Drosophila melanogaster: one gene and its partners. The protein of the gene in region 2 interacts with the protein of the main gene of each other region in a pairwise test. Each region holds a gene or a part of one and is shown on either strand. Other genes may lie near its edges.

Region 1 (5,230 bases), on a different chromosome or scaffold from region 2:
TAATTTTCCCAAGAAAAAGAAGGACTCAGTAAGCTTAGGTTTGTTGGTCTACCGCTAGGTGGCTGAGTAATGAGTATTAAGTAAGTAGTCAAAGCGCTTTAAACCCCAAATCTTTGAACTCATTTTTCCCCAAACATTTTCCTTAAATTCTCCTTTGCTGCCGAATATTACATATATTGTGTGTGGTGGGTGCGGAGTTCTTCCTCACTTCGCCTCCCTAAAAATGGAGTCGAATGGCTCCCACGTCAATTAGGGCTAATTTCATTAGCCGGCAATAACTTGCAGCACTTTCCCCAACCAGAAACTACTGGCCCGACTTTTCGCGACCCTTGCTGGAACTTTACTTTTTGGCTAATTTTGTTGCTGTTTCGTTAACGCCTCGGCGAAGTTGAACGTCGCGTTTATTTGTGCGTCATTGTTGCTCCTTCTGCTGTTTCAGTTAAAAGTTGTTTCAACTGGAGTTACATTTGGCAATTAGCCGCTGCATTTTCTTGCACTTTCGCTGCAGCCCCCTTTTGCATTGCAACCGGACTTCAGCCTCGTTCTGCCCATCGCACTTCAATACATATTTATTAGCCGCATTTGTTGGATTTTAGCTCAATTAAAAAGTTTTACTCGGCTACTTTTCTTCATTTCGGTTTGGGACCTGCCCTGTGACTCCAACTTCAACTTCGACTCCGAATGTGTTGTTTTGTTTGGTAGCTGTTAACTGGGAGTTAGAAACTTGGATTTGGGATCAAGGAGTTGCATGCTGGATGCTTTTGCAGCCACACTGCAGTTGCTGTCGGTGGCCTTTTTTGTCTTCTTGTTTTGCTAATTGCAATTACTTTTTGGGGTTCAGTCACTAGAAATTAAGGCATAAGCTGAATTTGAAATACTCTAGCCGTTAATCAAACTGCATAACATGAAAAATTAATAAATGTATTTAATTCAACTTAAGAACATTCCACCAAAAATATATTTATCGACTACCCTACAGTTTGTACTTTTACTTTACAAATCAAAAAACCCCTTTTGCAAGGGTATAAAACTGGCTTAAGAATTTATTCTTAAGATAGACTCATCCCAGCAGATGATTGCCGTTGGCACTCCAGCCGGGTGCCACGTAGTGGGGGCGCTGCTTGTGCACCACCGTGCGCACCACTGGCACTTTGACCGGATACGGATAATAAACTGGCGAGACCACCGGCTTCTCCACTCGGTAGGGTACCCTGCGCTCAACCACAAAGGGAATGGGCCGCTCCACGGGCACCGGCTTCACCCGTTCGATGGGAATCTTAACCTCTTGCATCTGGGGCACGGCCACCGTTTGGGCCACTGGTATTTTGATGGGCATGGGCTTGGGTATGGCTGCGATCACGGTTCGTGGCACTTGCACCTGGACGTTCTGCTTGAAGGGCACATGCTGCTTCTGATAGTGGGTGATGGGCACACTCTTAGTGATCTCGATGTGCTTGGCCAACGGCAATCCGGCTACCGCTTTACTGCTCTCCGGAGTATGGTGCACACTGGTGGTTATGGCTGGGAGATCTGCAATCTGGCTATCCTTGTGAGAGTACAACATCTGCTGGTCCTGGGCAACTCCCAGGCGCTGGTGATGCCGTTGATCCTGAGGATATTGCAGCGCATGTGGCCGCTTTTGTTGCAGATGTTGTTGCAAGTGTGGCTGTTGCAGCTGTCTGCTTTCAGGTTGCTGATAATGTCGCTGCTCCAGTGGCTGGCTTTGCTCCCGGTTTGGATGATGACTCGATAGGGACTCTTCCTGCTGACGCTTAACTGGATTGGCCGGTGTCTGGAGTTCTTTGAGCCGCGCATAGATACTAGTAATATCCTCCTGCTCCTGGTGCTGCTGCTGCTGATGTTGCTCCACCTCCTGCTCCCGCTGGCGATTCTCCCGGTAATTGGAAATTTGTTCGAAATGGTAATCGCTGGGACCGGGTAGCGATGTGGCAAACTGCACCCGCGGCCGATATGCATAGCTTTCGTAGTGCTGCTCCCCATGATGTGGCTCCACATCGTAGCCAGCGGAATTTGGCTCATAATTTGCCGTATTAATGACAAAATCGATATTGGCGGATGGGTCGCGACGCGGCTCCTCATCCGCGGTGAATGGCGAGTGCAGTTTGCTGTTGTAGTAGAAGGGCACAAAGCCATTGGCCGTGGTGCCAAGGGAGGATTGCGAATGGCGATGGTGCTGTTGATGGGTGGCGGCCAGGAGTTTGTGAGCATAATTTCCATATGTTGCCAAGTCATCGCCGGCTGCAGTGTCAGTGGGGCCATAATAATTTCGCGTATATCCTGTTAATCCCGGCAACGAGTCCACACCCGCATCCTGGTAATGGTGTTTGCTGCCATGTTCCAGCGACAGGCCGAGCGGGTACTCCGCCAGGGATAGGGGCAGTGGGGCATCTATGGCCTCCATTGTCATGGCCAAAGCGAGCCACATTAATGCATAGATCATTAATGAACTGGTGGCAGGTGACCCAAAGCCTTGGCCGGATTTTGGCCGCCCCATAACGTTGGGTGGTTGTGTGTGTCCTGAAATCCTGAACTCCTGTGTCCTATATCCTTTGTTCCAATCCGCCAACGGAGTGCGTGTTTGGATGCAGCTGGCGTGGGTGTTGCTCCGCTTTGAAATGCAAATTTGTGACATCGCGATGCTGTTTTTATAGCACACACACACTCTTCAAATGCTTGGAGCGCTCTACTTGTAATTGGATATCCTCGTTGGCACTTCAAGTTCATTGGCCAATCCACCATGGATTGTGTAAGTGGAAGCCCATGCCCAGGCACTCACTTTCACTCGGCGGCACACACCAACTGTTCCAGATAGTCCCTTTCTGGTTGTTCCTTTCAGATGCAAGTGAGGCGGCGATCCGCTGTCCGCACAATTCGCAATCACAAAATACGCAGCTATACCGCAATTGCTAGCCCGCAATGCACATCGACCTATGCACTGTGGTCTAATAGGGCTCAAAAATTAAAAAAGAAAATCTATTGTGGATGTGATAAAAATGGTAAAAATGAAGTTATTAAATTAAGTAAGTTTTGTTTTGAGTGCATAAATATTGCTTCCTTTTTAAGCTAGCATAATATTTGATAATTTTCAACATAGCTGTAACCACTGTGCACCGGTTGGCTCCCAGCCGCATCGGATTTCACACTGTGTGGCAGCTTGCGGTCAATGTCGCGGCCATTCCGATGTTTGATTGCACAAATGGTGACGTGCGCTTCATGTGCTTGCGGTCCGGTCTTTGCCAAGTGCAATCGCCGGAGATTTGAAACGCGTCTGAGATCTCGGATTGCAGCACTTTCAATTTTCATCTGGATGCATTCGACGACATTTGGTATCGTTGCTCTTGCATAATTTACCAGCCACGCCTTCACTCACTCAAAGCTGACAATGCACTTTGGGTCTAAAGTGATTCAATTTTAAAGAACCTTTGCGGGAATAGCATTCTCAGCGATTTTATAGTGCACTCAGCAAAATAGTTGATATAAGATTATAATATTTCTATATTCAGGTTTGTAGAATTGAAGATACATTTAATATGTGATACATAGATATATTATACCTTAGTTACCATTTTTGTGTTTTCTGCCATTCGTAGTTCGTTTAAAGTATTGTAGTGTTATTTTCCGATTTTAATCTTATATTTGTGATTTTCTCTGCGAGTAGTTGCCTCTGGCGGGAAATCAAGGGAAAGTCGGCGAAAAACGGAGATAGAGCGAGTTCTTTTCGTTGCTAGCCTGGCATCCTTGGATCATTCATCATTCTGCTCTGCATTTAAGTTTGCAAAGTTCACCAGGTTCGCATCGCCACCTTTCTCTATATACATATATATATATATATTTGTATATATATAGACCCACCTTAGCCACGCCCCCTTAGAGCGGCGTTAGCAGCAACGCCCACCGTCACCGCACTTTTGAAATAACAGCGCAAAGTACAAGTAAAGTGTATTTTCACATTGAATGAGGTTAAGCTTCGTTAAATTTTGCGCAGCTTCACTGTACAGTTAAACCTCCCCATCCATATCACCTGGAACGAGAGTGTGTGTGTTATACTTGTTGGATGCAATTTTTTTCGCTTCTTTTTCATTACTTCAAATGCTTTCAAGCCCTGTGAAGCATATTTTAGCAAAGTTCCCATAGAAAAGAAGCCAGCCAGCTAGCCACCCAGCTTAACATGGCCAAAATGTGTAAAGAAAAAAATCTACTAAAAAAAAAAAGAACAGAAAATAAAAAAAAGTGAGTAGAAAAAATCGACAAAACGATGGCAAAGTTAAATGCCTGCATACACATACTTATTAAAGTTCAAAGTTTTCTTTGGCGCGCTCTGCATAAAATCCATCATAAAATTAACAGGCGGAGAGGAGCAGCAGGAGCAGCAGGAGCAGATTTTGCTGTGACACTGAAACTTCATTAAGTCACGTTAAAACGTTAAAATGAGAAAACGGTCGAAGGAAAGGCAAAAATCCAGCAGCCAGCAAAAACAGAAGCCAAGGCAGCCAGCAAATAGCCAAGAAATTCCAGCTATGGCATAGTTGGCAACGTCGCTGGCCTTTGCTTGACCCGCTCGGAGGTGGGTTTTTTTTTTTTTAATGGGGGACTCAGAGGCTTCGGCGGATACGGCGGACTCCGATGTTGTGGGTGACTCGGGGTCGACGGTCATCGTTGCATGCGAATTTAATCAAGTCATGCAATAGAATTTACGGTTCCATTGCCTTTCGGCCGTCGATGCCGATGGTCGTTCCGTCCTCGTTTGTTGGTCCACTCCCCACAAAGATTTGGCCCAAAACTTGGCCTTGGCTGTATAGTTTGGGCCCTAATGCCAAGTGTCGTCCCCCATTGCCCTACCGTCCCCACATCCCACTCATACCTCCTCACCGTACAGTTTATTCAATGTCCTTCGGCTTTATTCCTGGAATTGAGCCGCCTGTTTGTGTTGCTTCTTGAGTTTTTTGTTCAATGCTTGTTTTAAACAATTTGCGGTCCTGGTTTCGCGGGGCAGGGGCTCAAAGTTTTTGAGGCACTTTTATTATTTCGTATTGTGGCACAGGAAAAATTCGTATACGTGATTAAATTCTTCGAATTTGAATTTATAATTTGAAATGCGCATTTTTTTTTTACCCTTTTTCGTTATTGCATTTTTTATGGAGATATTTATATATGCATATGAATTTATGAAATATGCCAATCAAAGCTGGCTAAAAAGCATTTTAGGGTA
Region 2 (5,176 bases):
TTTAAATTCATAGCTGGGACGACGTCATTATTTCAAAGTGTTGCAATTTATCGTTTTTAGTTTCACTTCATTTACAATGTACGAATATGTTCTAAATATTATGATTTCACTTTTTTATTTGTTATTTTATATGCAAACATTATTGAAAATAAATAAAACCGCACATTCGCATCTTTGCAAGTGTACTATGCAAATTGTTCTTATTACTTCGTTTGTTGAATATTTATATCCTATCAAGTGCAATTATAGTGAGCTACTTATATAACTTTCTGATTTCCATGGCTATTTTTGTGTGTGCCTATAGAAATTTTCTCAATCCGACATCCTTTCTAGATCGTGTCATACAGAAAATTGAAATGAATAAGCTCCACAAATGTAAAACCTTAGAAAATGAAAGACTTGAGCTGGTGCGTAAAATTTGTGAAAATACAAATTGGAAATACCAAAAACAATTTGGATTCGCCTTGATCAACGGTTAAATAAGCGCTGTTTGAAAACATTCATATTGCATAAATCATATATATTTGCATACGAAAATTTATGAATCTAATTTGTGTATATATCTATGCTTATCAAAATTGGCAAGCATAAACCAGAATTAAGCTGGCGAAATGCGTAAGATGAAATCTTATTCAATGTTATCGACAACAAGAAAGTATATAAAAAAATGAATGCAAATGAAGAAAACTTTTTAAATACAAATAATAAAATGCGTCAAGCCGAATTATAAATGATCGTTTTTGAAAAGTAGCAAACTCGCTACTTTATACTATGTATAAAGTATATATATTCTTGATCAATAGGATCAATAGCCAAGTCGATCTGGTTATGTCCGTATGAAAGTCGAGATTTCAGGAACTATAAAAGCTTTTTTTCATAATTTTATTAGTCTTGTAAATTTTTATCTCTTGTTTCATTAATTCTTTTAACAAAATCGAAGGGGGGAAATTGCTACTTTATAGCCCAAAAGTATGCAATAGTTATTTCAACTATAATACTAAGACCATAATATTCTTTAGTTTTTTGTTAATAATTTATTTAATCATCATGTAGTCAACAGGAAACGGGGAGTACATCAATAAATAATGGGATACCTAGAAAACATTCTAGCCTAGACTAATCCTAAAAAACAACGTATGGAACTTTAGTAGTCCGCATATCCCCTTCCTTGGTTGCCATATCCGAAGTCCTTCAGATAATTATCGATGGCCAGATCGAACGTGGACGATGGCTTATCGGGTCCAGAATCGGGACCACCATATGGCTTGATCTCCGGTTGGGGTACGGGATAGGCTTCCGTACGCGGTTGATAGGACTCAGTTTGGCTGGGATATGACTCTGTGATGCTGGGGTAGGAGTCCTTTTGGCTGGGATAGGATTCCGTGGGACTTGGATATATGGGTGTGTGGCTGGGATACGACTCCGTTTGGCTCTGCACAACGGGATAGACTTCCGTCTGGGGCGCCGAGTATTCCTTGGGTGCTTCAACAATAGGATACGATGTGGATCTCTCATAAATGGGAGACGGTGTGGCCACCACAATCTTCTCCTCGTAGGGAGTCTTTATCTTGGCCACCGACACGCCCGATGATGATGATGAAACCGCTGAGGCGGCATACTTAATGCTGGAGGAGATTTTGGGTGCCGGCGCCACTTTGCTCACGAGTGGAACCACTTGCTTTTTGTAGCTTGGAACCGGGGAATAGAAAACGGAGGGAGCTGGCTGAAGCTGAATACGTGGCGGAGTTGGCACACTAGCTGGGTAGCCCTTCTTGGTGCCATACGCAGTGCTAAGCAATTGGGCCAACTCCTCCAGCGTGTAATTAGGAGCAGCTATGCTGGCCACCGCTGGTGAGGAAGCCACCGAGGGAATGGAAGCCGGTGAAGCAGCTGATGCCGCCTGTTCGTAGACCAATGGATATGGCTTATAGGCCTTGGGTCCGCCCACTGGTCCTACCAATCCCCCATAGGATTCGCCTCCGTACTTGGGAAAGTATTTGCGCTGATGGACATGCGTGTACTCCACCTGGCCACCTGGGGCATACTCCCCAATGGATGAGATCTGGGTGAGCGGCTGCTTGGGCTCAGAAGAGATCACCTTGCGGCAGAACTCCTTGCAGCCCAGCTTGCATTCGCAGTAGCACTTCTTGTACTCCGATGGCTGTGTAGTGTAATCCGTGGGCGTGGGTGGGGCACTGGTTGTTGTTGGGTAAATAGGTCCCGGGCTGGTGGCGCTGGTTGTGGGCGGGCTCAACGTAGAGCCTCCGGTTGTTGTTGGCGCTACCGTTGTGGGCACCTCGCTGCACGGCACCTGTTCCCACACCTCCTGTTCACATTCCGCACAATATTCCGGGAAATGGGCTTGGGTCAATAGTGCCGATGCCATCAGCATGGTCATAAATAATAAATTGCAGCGTTCGAACATCTGAAGGGGGGAGAATATTGAATTTAGAATGGGTCAGAGAATTGCGCCGGAATCGTTCCCAATCGATTGACCCCGTTACCCTACCTTTCAACTGAATTTCTCCCTCGCTCGCTCGATCACTTTCCCCACAATTGCTGGAATTTCTGTCCCGGATCGCCGATGGATGGCACTTGTTGGCTGTTGGTCGGTCGCGTGCGAAACTCTTTCATGCATTTTGCTGAATAGCTCTTAAATACGCTGCGCTGGCCGAGAGCTTCTTCTTCTCGTTCTTACAACGCCGAGCAAATGGGTCGCGGAAGCGTTGACCGCATCACGTTCCAAACGCCCCAAACGGCTCGGAATGGGGCGTGGTTGTCCGGAATGGGTCCGGAATGGGTAAAGACAATCGCCAGATGCCGCCGCTTCCGTAATACACATTCAAGCATTTCTGCCCGCACTCGTCGATAGCTTGGAGTGCTCGCGACAAGAGTTGTTTAATCAAAAACATATAGCAAACATATTTATGTATGACCTTTGGCATGACAATAACCTTTAAGAGAAAGACGAACTTCATAATGCATTTTTTTTAGGCAGTTTCTCATTAGCCAGAATAAACAATCCTCCTGAAATCTTTAATTTTATAAATAGCCAAAACCATTCCGACCGCAATGATCATTTTTTCGGTTCTGCACAAAATTTCCAGCTGCTTGGGGGATTTATAATTTCTGGGTCTCGGCCTAGATCTGATATTAACGTCTGGGGTCGATTGACTTATCAATTTTTGGTTGTAATTCTTTGTGGAACTCAAGGTCTACACGTACACTATGGATAATGGTATTTTTGTAAGCGATATTGCTCAATACCTAAATTATCTTCCTACAAATTGAGTACAAAAGCTTTACTGATTTAAATAATAGTATCTTGACCATTTAACATTTTGTCTAGCTCATTATTTAAACAACATTTTGGGAAAACTCTGCTTAAAATTGGGGGCACTCTTAATCTTTTTTGTTTTAACAAAAATAAGCAACATCACTATTTTCATTATTGCGAGTAAAAGTCATAACAATTTTAGCCTTACAAAGAAAAATAGCAAAAAACTCCGATTTATTTAAAGTAGTCCTTTAAAAAAGTACTTTATTTTTTTTACTTTTATACTTTTAGTATTTATTCATTGTCCGAATCACCAGAGATCACTTAAAATCAAAGCCATTTGCACATTTGGATGAGGTGACTTATTTATGATTAATTTAGATTTGCTACACGACTTTGGAAGGGTAAGCCGGGGTAAACCTGAATATCAGGGAAGAAACTTTGATCATCCCGCACATCAGTTTCCATGGTTTCCTTGTGGTCACGTCTTTTTTCGATGGAGCTGCGCTTCCTTAGTTTCTCCCAGCGATTTTGTTTTAGTTGTGTCTTCGGTTTAACTGGCACTTGAATTTGAGATGGTTTTTTAGATTGACCCGGATCGGAAGTCTCGCGAACCGTTTCCGTGCGACTTGCCATTTCCACATCAATGGTGTCAGCTTTACTACGACCACTGGTAAGTCGCCTCAGCATCTCCTGATAATGCGGTTGATCCGCAGTTATGTATTCCGGTTCGTCTTCGGGATTGAGAATCTGGTAGTTGGGGGTGCCCAGTTCGAAGGTGGTGAATTCACCATGCTCCACTTTGTTCTTCAGATGCTGCGGCGTATACCCATACTGCTTAAGTGGAGCCATCCACTTGGCATCCGCATCCGCAACTGTATCCTTTGAGCTTCCCCCCAGGCAGAAGCCAAGGGTCAATAGCAATGTGACCAGTAGTTGTCGTGTCTCCGGGCAGCCGACCATTTTCGCACTGATGCTCCATGGATGCATTGGTCAGAGCGTTAGCCAAATCCAATAGAATCGCCATCGACGACGTCGACTGCGCCGGTAATTGGACGCCCCCAAAGTGGCAGCAGCTACGTGAGATTAGAGGCATCTATGGGCCATGTCGCGTCTGGCGGCGATAGCATTAGTTTATGCTTATCACAGTATCGAAGCCACCTGTATCGTGACGCATCATTTTATGAGACATCAATTCGCAAATATAATGATACGAATTCACTGAAGAAGCCAAACACACAAGCGAGTTGAACTAAGTCAAGCATTTCATTCACCACTTTTTTTTTTTGGTTTTAATAATCTTTCACTTTTTTGTGTCACACTTGTGAACTGTCATAATGTGGTTTTTCTTCACTTGGCTTATATTTTTCTTAACTGATCTTCACACTTATATAAGTATGTTTGCAACACAACCACTACTCAACTACTCATTTTTTTTTTTATATCAATAAAATACCCTCACCCAGCTTTTAAGTATATTCCCTATATTAAAAAATCCAAGTTTTTGTGTTCCTCTGCGAACAGATTGAATGGGATGCATCTTTATTGTAGGTTAATGTAAGCTGTCTGTATGTACACTCAATTGTCTTAATTGTAACTAAATTATGATGTATGGCAGTGAGTTTTCCCGGGTCAAGACGGGTTTCCTAATGGGTTTATGCAGCTGAAGTCAGTCATTAGATCCTTTTAGTACTTGTACTGTGCTGTTGGTCCGGATACAGAGACATAGTTCCCGGCGGACAGCTCCTGCTTGATAATGGCCTTGGGGGCGGCGTAGTGGACGAGTGGCGCCACCGGTAGCACGGGAGTCAGGATCTTGGCGGCCAGGAGCTTCTTGGGTGGCTCAGGCAACGGTATCTTGATGTCCGTGGGCTCACGCTGGACAATTGCCTCGAAACC
Region 3 (5,383 bases), on a different chromosome or scaffold from region 2:
AATCGGACGGAGAAGTCCGAGACGAAGCCAAACAATCAACGAAGAAATTATGAATTAAATATTATACAATTGTCAAGGAATACTGTGAGCTATATTAGCCGCTTATTTATATTAGCGGTATGTACACCGTATATTAGTCTCTTATTCTAAGCAGATTACTTAGCTAAATTGTGTCCAACTGTAAAGGCCTCTAGAGCACAGCACTTTTGTATGGTATATCAGCCTAAAGACCCTTAGTTTAAATAATCGTACACATCAAATCAATCAGACGGATAATGATAGACACAAAGCCCCGAGCTTGGCAACTAATCGTTTTTGTTGGAATAGAAGCTTCGAAATTAATTTAGTGGTAGCAGGCATGACTCAATTGTACCTATCTTTTGATACCGTTTATTACAAAACTAAGGACTATAATCGTATTTAAATTGTATACCTAATCGAGTGCAGCGAGACCAAAACGCACTCTGCACACTGATGAACTTTTGAAGTCGGCTGAGGAGTACATAAATTTATATCGATATCGAAAACATTTCAGTATGTTCTACGAATGGTAGCTCATAGAACCTATTAAACATAAAACATAATACATAAATAATAACACATTATGCATTGTAATAAACTTATTTATAACATACGGTGACATACTCGAAACGTTTATATACAACACACATATACATATTTATACATAATCAGAAATTATACATATGAGATATGCCACATACGATATCATATAACATATACATATATGAACCATTGCGAAAAGTTGATACAATAAATAAAACACTCATCAATTGCGTTAAAACGTTGTTTTTTAAATTATTTAAAAACTTTTTGTGGGACTATTTTCTTCTTGGCTTCGGAACTTCAATCTAATAGTTTCTAGGGAAGACCGCAAACAAATTTGTTAGGTTTTTCAATTCTCGTTTTATTTCCTAGACTAACCATTCAACAACATTTTCTTAAAGACGTGTACATAGGCTAGGGGTAACTTAGAATCAATCTACATGTTGGATCGGTATCAAATCCCTCGAAGAACACAGAGTAAGAGATTGAGAGTACAGCGTTTGGCACAGATATAGCCGGAGTTTCAGTTTTGGGTCAGTGTAAGCTGCGTGCGATAGATGAAGTCGAATCAAATCAGATCAGATAGTTGAGAACCTTGGTCCCTCAGTGATGGTAGTAGGCATGGGGTTCCACTGGAGCGGGGGCCGGACCTGGAGCCGGATAGTGGGCATAGGGGCTGTGCGCCAGGGCGGGATAGGCGGCATGGAAGTGGGCGGAGGGCAGGACTGGAGTAGCCACTGGCACAGACACCGGAGCTGGAGCAGGAGCGGGAGCGGGACCTGGTGCAGGAGCGGGAGCACCACGGTGGTAAGGTCCTAAGGCAAGAGGATACGAAAGCAGAGGAGCCTTGGGCACCGGCGGAAGTGGAGGCGCCGGAGCTGGGCCGTAATGAGCTGGTACTGGAGCGGGTGCAGGTGCGACGACGGGTGCCAGGTGGGCTGGTGCCTTGTAGGCCAGCGGCTCCTTGCGGACCACCGCATTGAATCCGTGATGGGGATCCGCTGTGTAGTCAACGGTGCGTTTGGTTCCATCCGGATCCACAACCGAGTAGCTGCCCTTCACCACATCTCCGTGGCGCGTCTCGTGCTGTGACTTCAGGTCACCAGTATAACCATCCTGGATGTCGTAGCCAAAGGAGTACTTCGGGTCGGGATCGTAGGGTTCGGGAGCAGCCGGCTTGGGCGCCACATAGGGACCTGGCAGGGGCCCATGCTGCGGTGCATATCCTCCATAGTGGTGCAGAGGTCCGGGACCAGCTGGACCGCCATAGTATGGTCCGGGTCCAATCACGCCCGCATAGGCGATGCCGAGCATGGCGCTCAGCAGGGAAATCTGAAAAAAAAATTAAAAGAAAATGTTGAAAGCGATTAAATTGAAATAAGCTTTAAGTAATATGAGGACAGGGAAGAATTGTTTAGAATAATTCTTGGCAATTAAATTTAATTTAAATCAAATCACATATTAACTCGGATCATTCGACGGGTTTCATTAGGACTTAAACTATCTTCTTTATGCACTAATTTTCTTTGTATGAATAAAATATAAGCTTTTAGTAATAGGAACACTTGGTTAATTCATCTTGGCATTCCCCTTGAGAATATGTTAAATCGGCTTAAACTTGATTGTCCAGACTATAAGAGCACTTTGGTATCCTTTGTTTTCACACCTTCAGCATAACGATGTCCTTGCAGGGGTATCCTTTCCACTCGCTCACAGTTGTCACAGACTCAGCAGACACCACACGTAGAGAGTGGCCGGAGTATTGTTGGTTTCGACGACGATCGCGCTAGAAGAAGTAACCAAAACTGCAAGCGTTCGCTGGAAGTTCTGGCCATTTATACTGGCAAACGGCGGCAAATGTCGCCTGCTTCACATGGCGCAGTCGAGGCAATAAACTAATTTCAGATCAAGAGAGACCCGGCCAGACGGAGTCTTCGGTGTCTTGGGCCAGCGATCAAGCACATGGCGCGGACCAGTACTGCGGAGCCACGGGGGCGGGGATTGACTCTTGCCCACCTGGCGGCAAATCGTGTGCCTGGCTTCAACTTTGGCGCAGTTATCGTGTCGACTTAGAAAGGTTATTCTTCCGCTAAACCATTTAAAGGGTCCCCAGACCCCGGAGCCAATCCAACCCGAGCTTTGCCCTTTCACTTTTGCGACGTTTACGATTCGTTTTCGATTCGCTTTTCAATACCCGCTTGGACACCGACTTTTGGCAATTATGTGAAAATTTATTTTGCCGCACACAATTGAAATGTTACATTAACATTGGCTGGATGTTAGGATATGCTGCATTTGGCTGCCGCGTAATTAGCTAAGAAGAACAAGCTGCACCGGGCGATGTTGAGGTTCCATATGAAATGGCAGTTGCAGCGCATGCGCAAAAGGTCAGGTGGTCCACAATTGAATTAAGAGTGCCTGGAGTGGGCCCAAAAGCCAGAGGCTCACCGAAGAAGGGGGGCGGAAACAGGGGCGACTGGCTCGCCACAACAGCCTAATAAAGCAAAAGGTCAACGCGCTGCTGTCGGCACATTAGTCTGGCCCACAGACCAGGCCAAACAACCACTTGCAGTCTAGGCAAATAATGTCATTAATAATACCCTTCAAAAAGTGGCATGACGACTATATAAGGTTACTCATGACTGATCCTTCAGCTGAAGACTGGTTTTCTGTTTGATCTTCCCCTTAAATGGTTGCTACGTAGCGGAGATGCTAAAAGCTGACTATGATAGGACACATTGTAATAGGAATACTGATCAGTTACATAGTTTATAATCAATGATAAACTTGAGATAATTTCTGGAAGGACCAAAAAAGTTTGCAGCTAGTTCCTAAGAGTGCCTGATTAGCCAAAAATACCCTTTCCAGCCTCTAACGACCAAGTGTCTGCGACAATTCTCATGTTTACCGTTTTGTGAGCTTAATTTATGGCTGCAAATTTGTATCTGGCATCTGGAAAACTATTGACATCTGCATGCATTGTCTTACCCTTGCTGTTACCATCGGGCCTGTTTATGCGACAACTAACTATAACAAAGAATCAAAGTCGTGCCAACCGCCGGGCCAGTCGATGTCAGCTGTTTTAACTATTTTTAGCCAGAAGATCAAAGCAATTGATCAACAAGAATGGCAGGCTAATGCTACAAAGTTGCCAATATGGCTGAATGGAAAATCTAGTCAATAATGGATTAGTTAAGCACAATATTGGTATGTATGTAGGTATTTTAATTGCAAAAATTTTGTTTCGACAAAAACTTACGCGATAGATGTGACATCTCCTGTAGATATTTTCCCAATTACAGGGCTCACAGCTGGCAAAACATTTGACGGTATATCTGTAATTTTAAAACCCATCCAGCTGTTTTAGCTTTATGAAACATATTGCCTAAAGCCGCTAAAGATAAATTTATGGCTATTCCCAGCGCAGTTTAATTTAGCTTCTGGTCAGTTCTCAAAGGGAGTTGGAAGTAGTCAGTCGCTTTGGAAATTTTTTATGTCATCGAAGCAACGTCTGATGGATTTCAGTCAGGTTCTGGATAAGTGTGGAAACTATGGCAGGTTCCAGGTGATGATCCTTTTGCTGTACGGCTACACAAATATTCTTGGATCACTGCACTACTTTTCGCAGACCCTTATCACCTTCACACCAGAGCATTGGTGAGTGTGGACACAAAATGGGTGATTGGTCCCGACCATGTAATATCCAATCTTTCTTATGCAGGTGCTTCCATGCTGACCTTAATGGTCTCAGTGTTGAAGGGATTCGCTCGGTATATGAAAACATATCCGCCTCATCCTGCACGCCCCTTTTGGGCGTAGTCAACGGCACAGGTGTTGTATCTACGAACCGAAAGTGCAGGAATTGGATTTTTAACAGGGAGAGCGGCTACGAAAGCATTACCACCGAGGTATGAAGCCATTGAAAAACGTTGTTGAAAAGATTTACAATATAGAAAACCCACTTCAGCTCAAATGGGTTTGTGACAAATCGCATCATCCAGCAGTGGGCCAATCCTTCTTCTTCATGGGCTCAGTCGTGGGCACCATAATCTTTGGCTATCTGTCGGATCAAGTAGGTCGTCTGCCTTCCCTGCTGATGGCCACCTTGTGTGGTGCAACTGGGGATTTTATCACCTCCTTTGTGCACACGCTGCCCTGGTTCGCCTTTTCCAGATTTATGTCAGGGCTATCCACTGATACCATGTACTACCTAATGTACATATTGGGTAATATAACTTTAAATCAAAATATAAGGTTAAATTAATCTACGTTCCCCATATCGTCAGTCTTTGAGTACTTAAGCCCCAAGAGCCGTACCTTTGGCCTCAACATCATCTTGGCTGTATTCTACTGTTTTGGACTGATGACCTCGCCCTGGGCCGCCATTTGGATTGGTAATTGGCGACGCTACCTTTGGCTGGCATCTCTTCCAGCACTGGGTGTCCTTATATATCCATTCCTGATCTGCGAAAGTGCTCAGTGGCTTTTGACCAAAAGGAAGTACGACGATGCGGTGATTTGTCTAAAGAAAGTGGCCAAGTTCAATAGGCGACATGTGGAGGAGTCCGTTTTCGATGAGTTTGTCAAATACTATCGGGAAAGGGAACTTCAGGATTACAAGCTTAATAGTCACGAGGACACTTTCTTAGCCATGTTTTTGACCCCTCGGTTGCGTCGATTCACTTTGACATTGCTCGTGAAGTCGTAAGTTCTTTACTTTTGGATCTTAGTGCATTATTTAATGCCTTCTTTCGGTTGTAGAGTCATTATAACCCTCTCATGCGATGTGATTAACCGGAATATGGAGGGCTTAGGCACT

Evidence for each region.
Region 1: the proteins of CG13114 (region 2) and CG13840 interact in a two-hybrid assay, tested with the Drosophila melanogaster proteins (one large-scale study listed by BioGRID).
Region 3: the proteins of CG13114 (region 2) and Cpr92A interact in a two-hybrid assay, tested with the Drosophila melanogaster proteins (one large-scale study listed by BioGRID).

What each region holds. Positions count from the first base shown.
Region 1 is NT_033777.3:22,813,577-22,818,806, forward strand, and holds CG13840 (uncharacterized protein), read right to left. Parts: upstream 2,603-5,230; 5' UTR 2,462-2,602; coding exon 1,061-2,461; 3' UTR 907-1,060; downstream 1-906.
Region 2 is NT_033779.5:9,543,266-9,548,441, reverse strand, and holds CG13114 (uncharacterized protein), read right to left. Parts: upstream 2,632-5,176; 5' UTR 2,510-2,631; intron 2,426-2,509; coding exon 1,145-2,425; 3' UTR 1,018-1,144; downstream 1-1,017. Other genes in the region: CG13113 (uncharacterized protein), read right to left, coding at 3,650-4,267; Cpr30B (cuticular protein 30B), read right to left, coding at 4,964-5,176.
Region 3 is NT_033777.3:19,596,596-19,601,978, forward strand, and holds Cpr92A (cuticular protein 92A), read right to left. Parts: upstream 2,361-5,383; 5' UTR 2,240-2,360; coding exon 2,231-2,239; intron 1,897-2,230; coding exon 1,168-1,896; 3' UTR 907-1,167; downstream 1-906. Other genes in the region: CG7333 (uncharacterized protein), read left to right, coding at 4,079-4,221, 4,286-4,472, 4,532-4,790, 4,851-5,268, 5,326-5,383.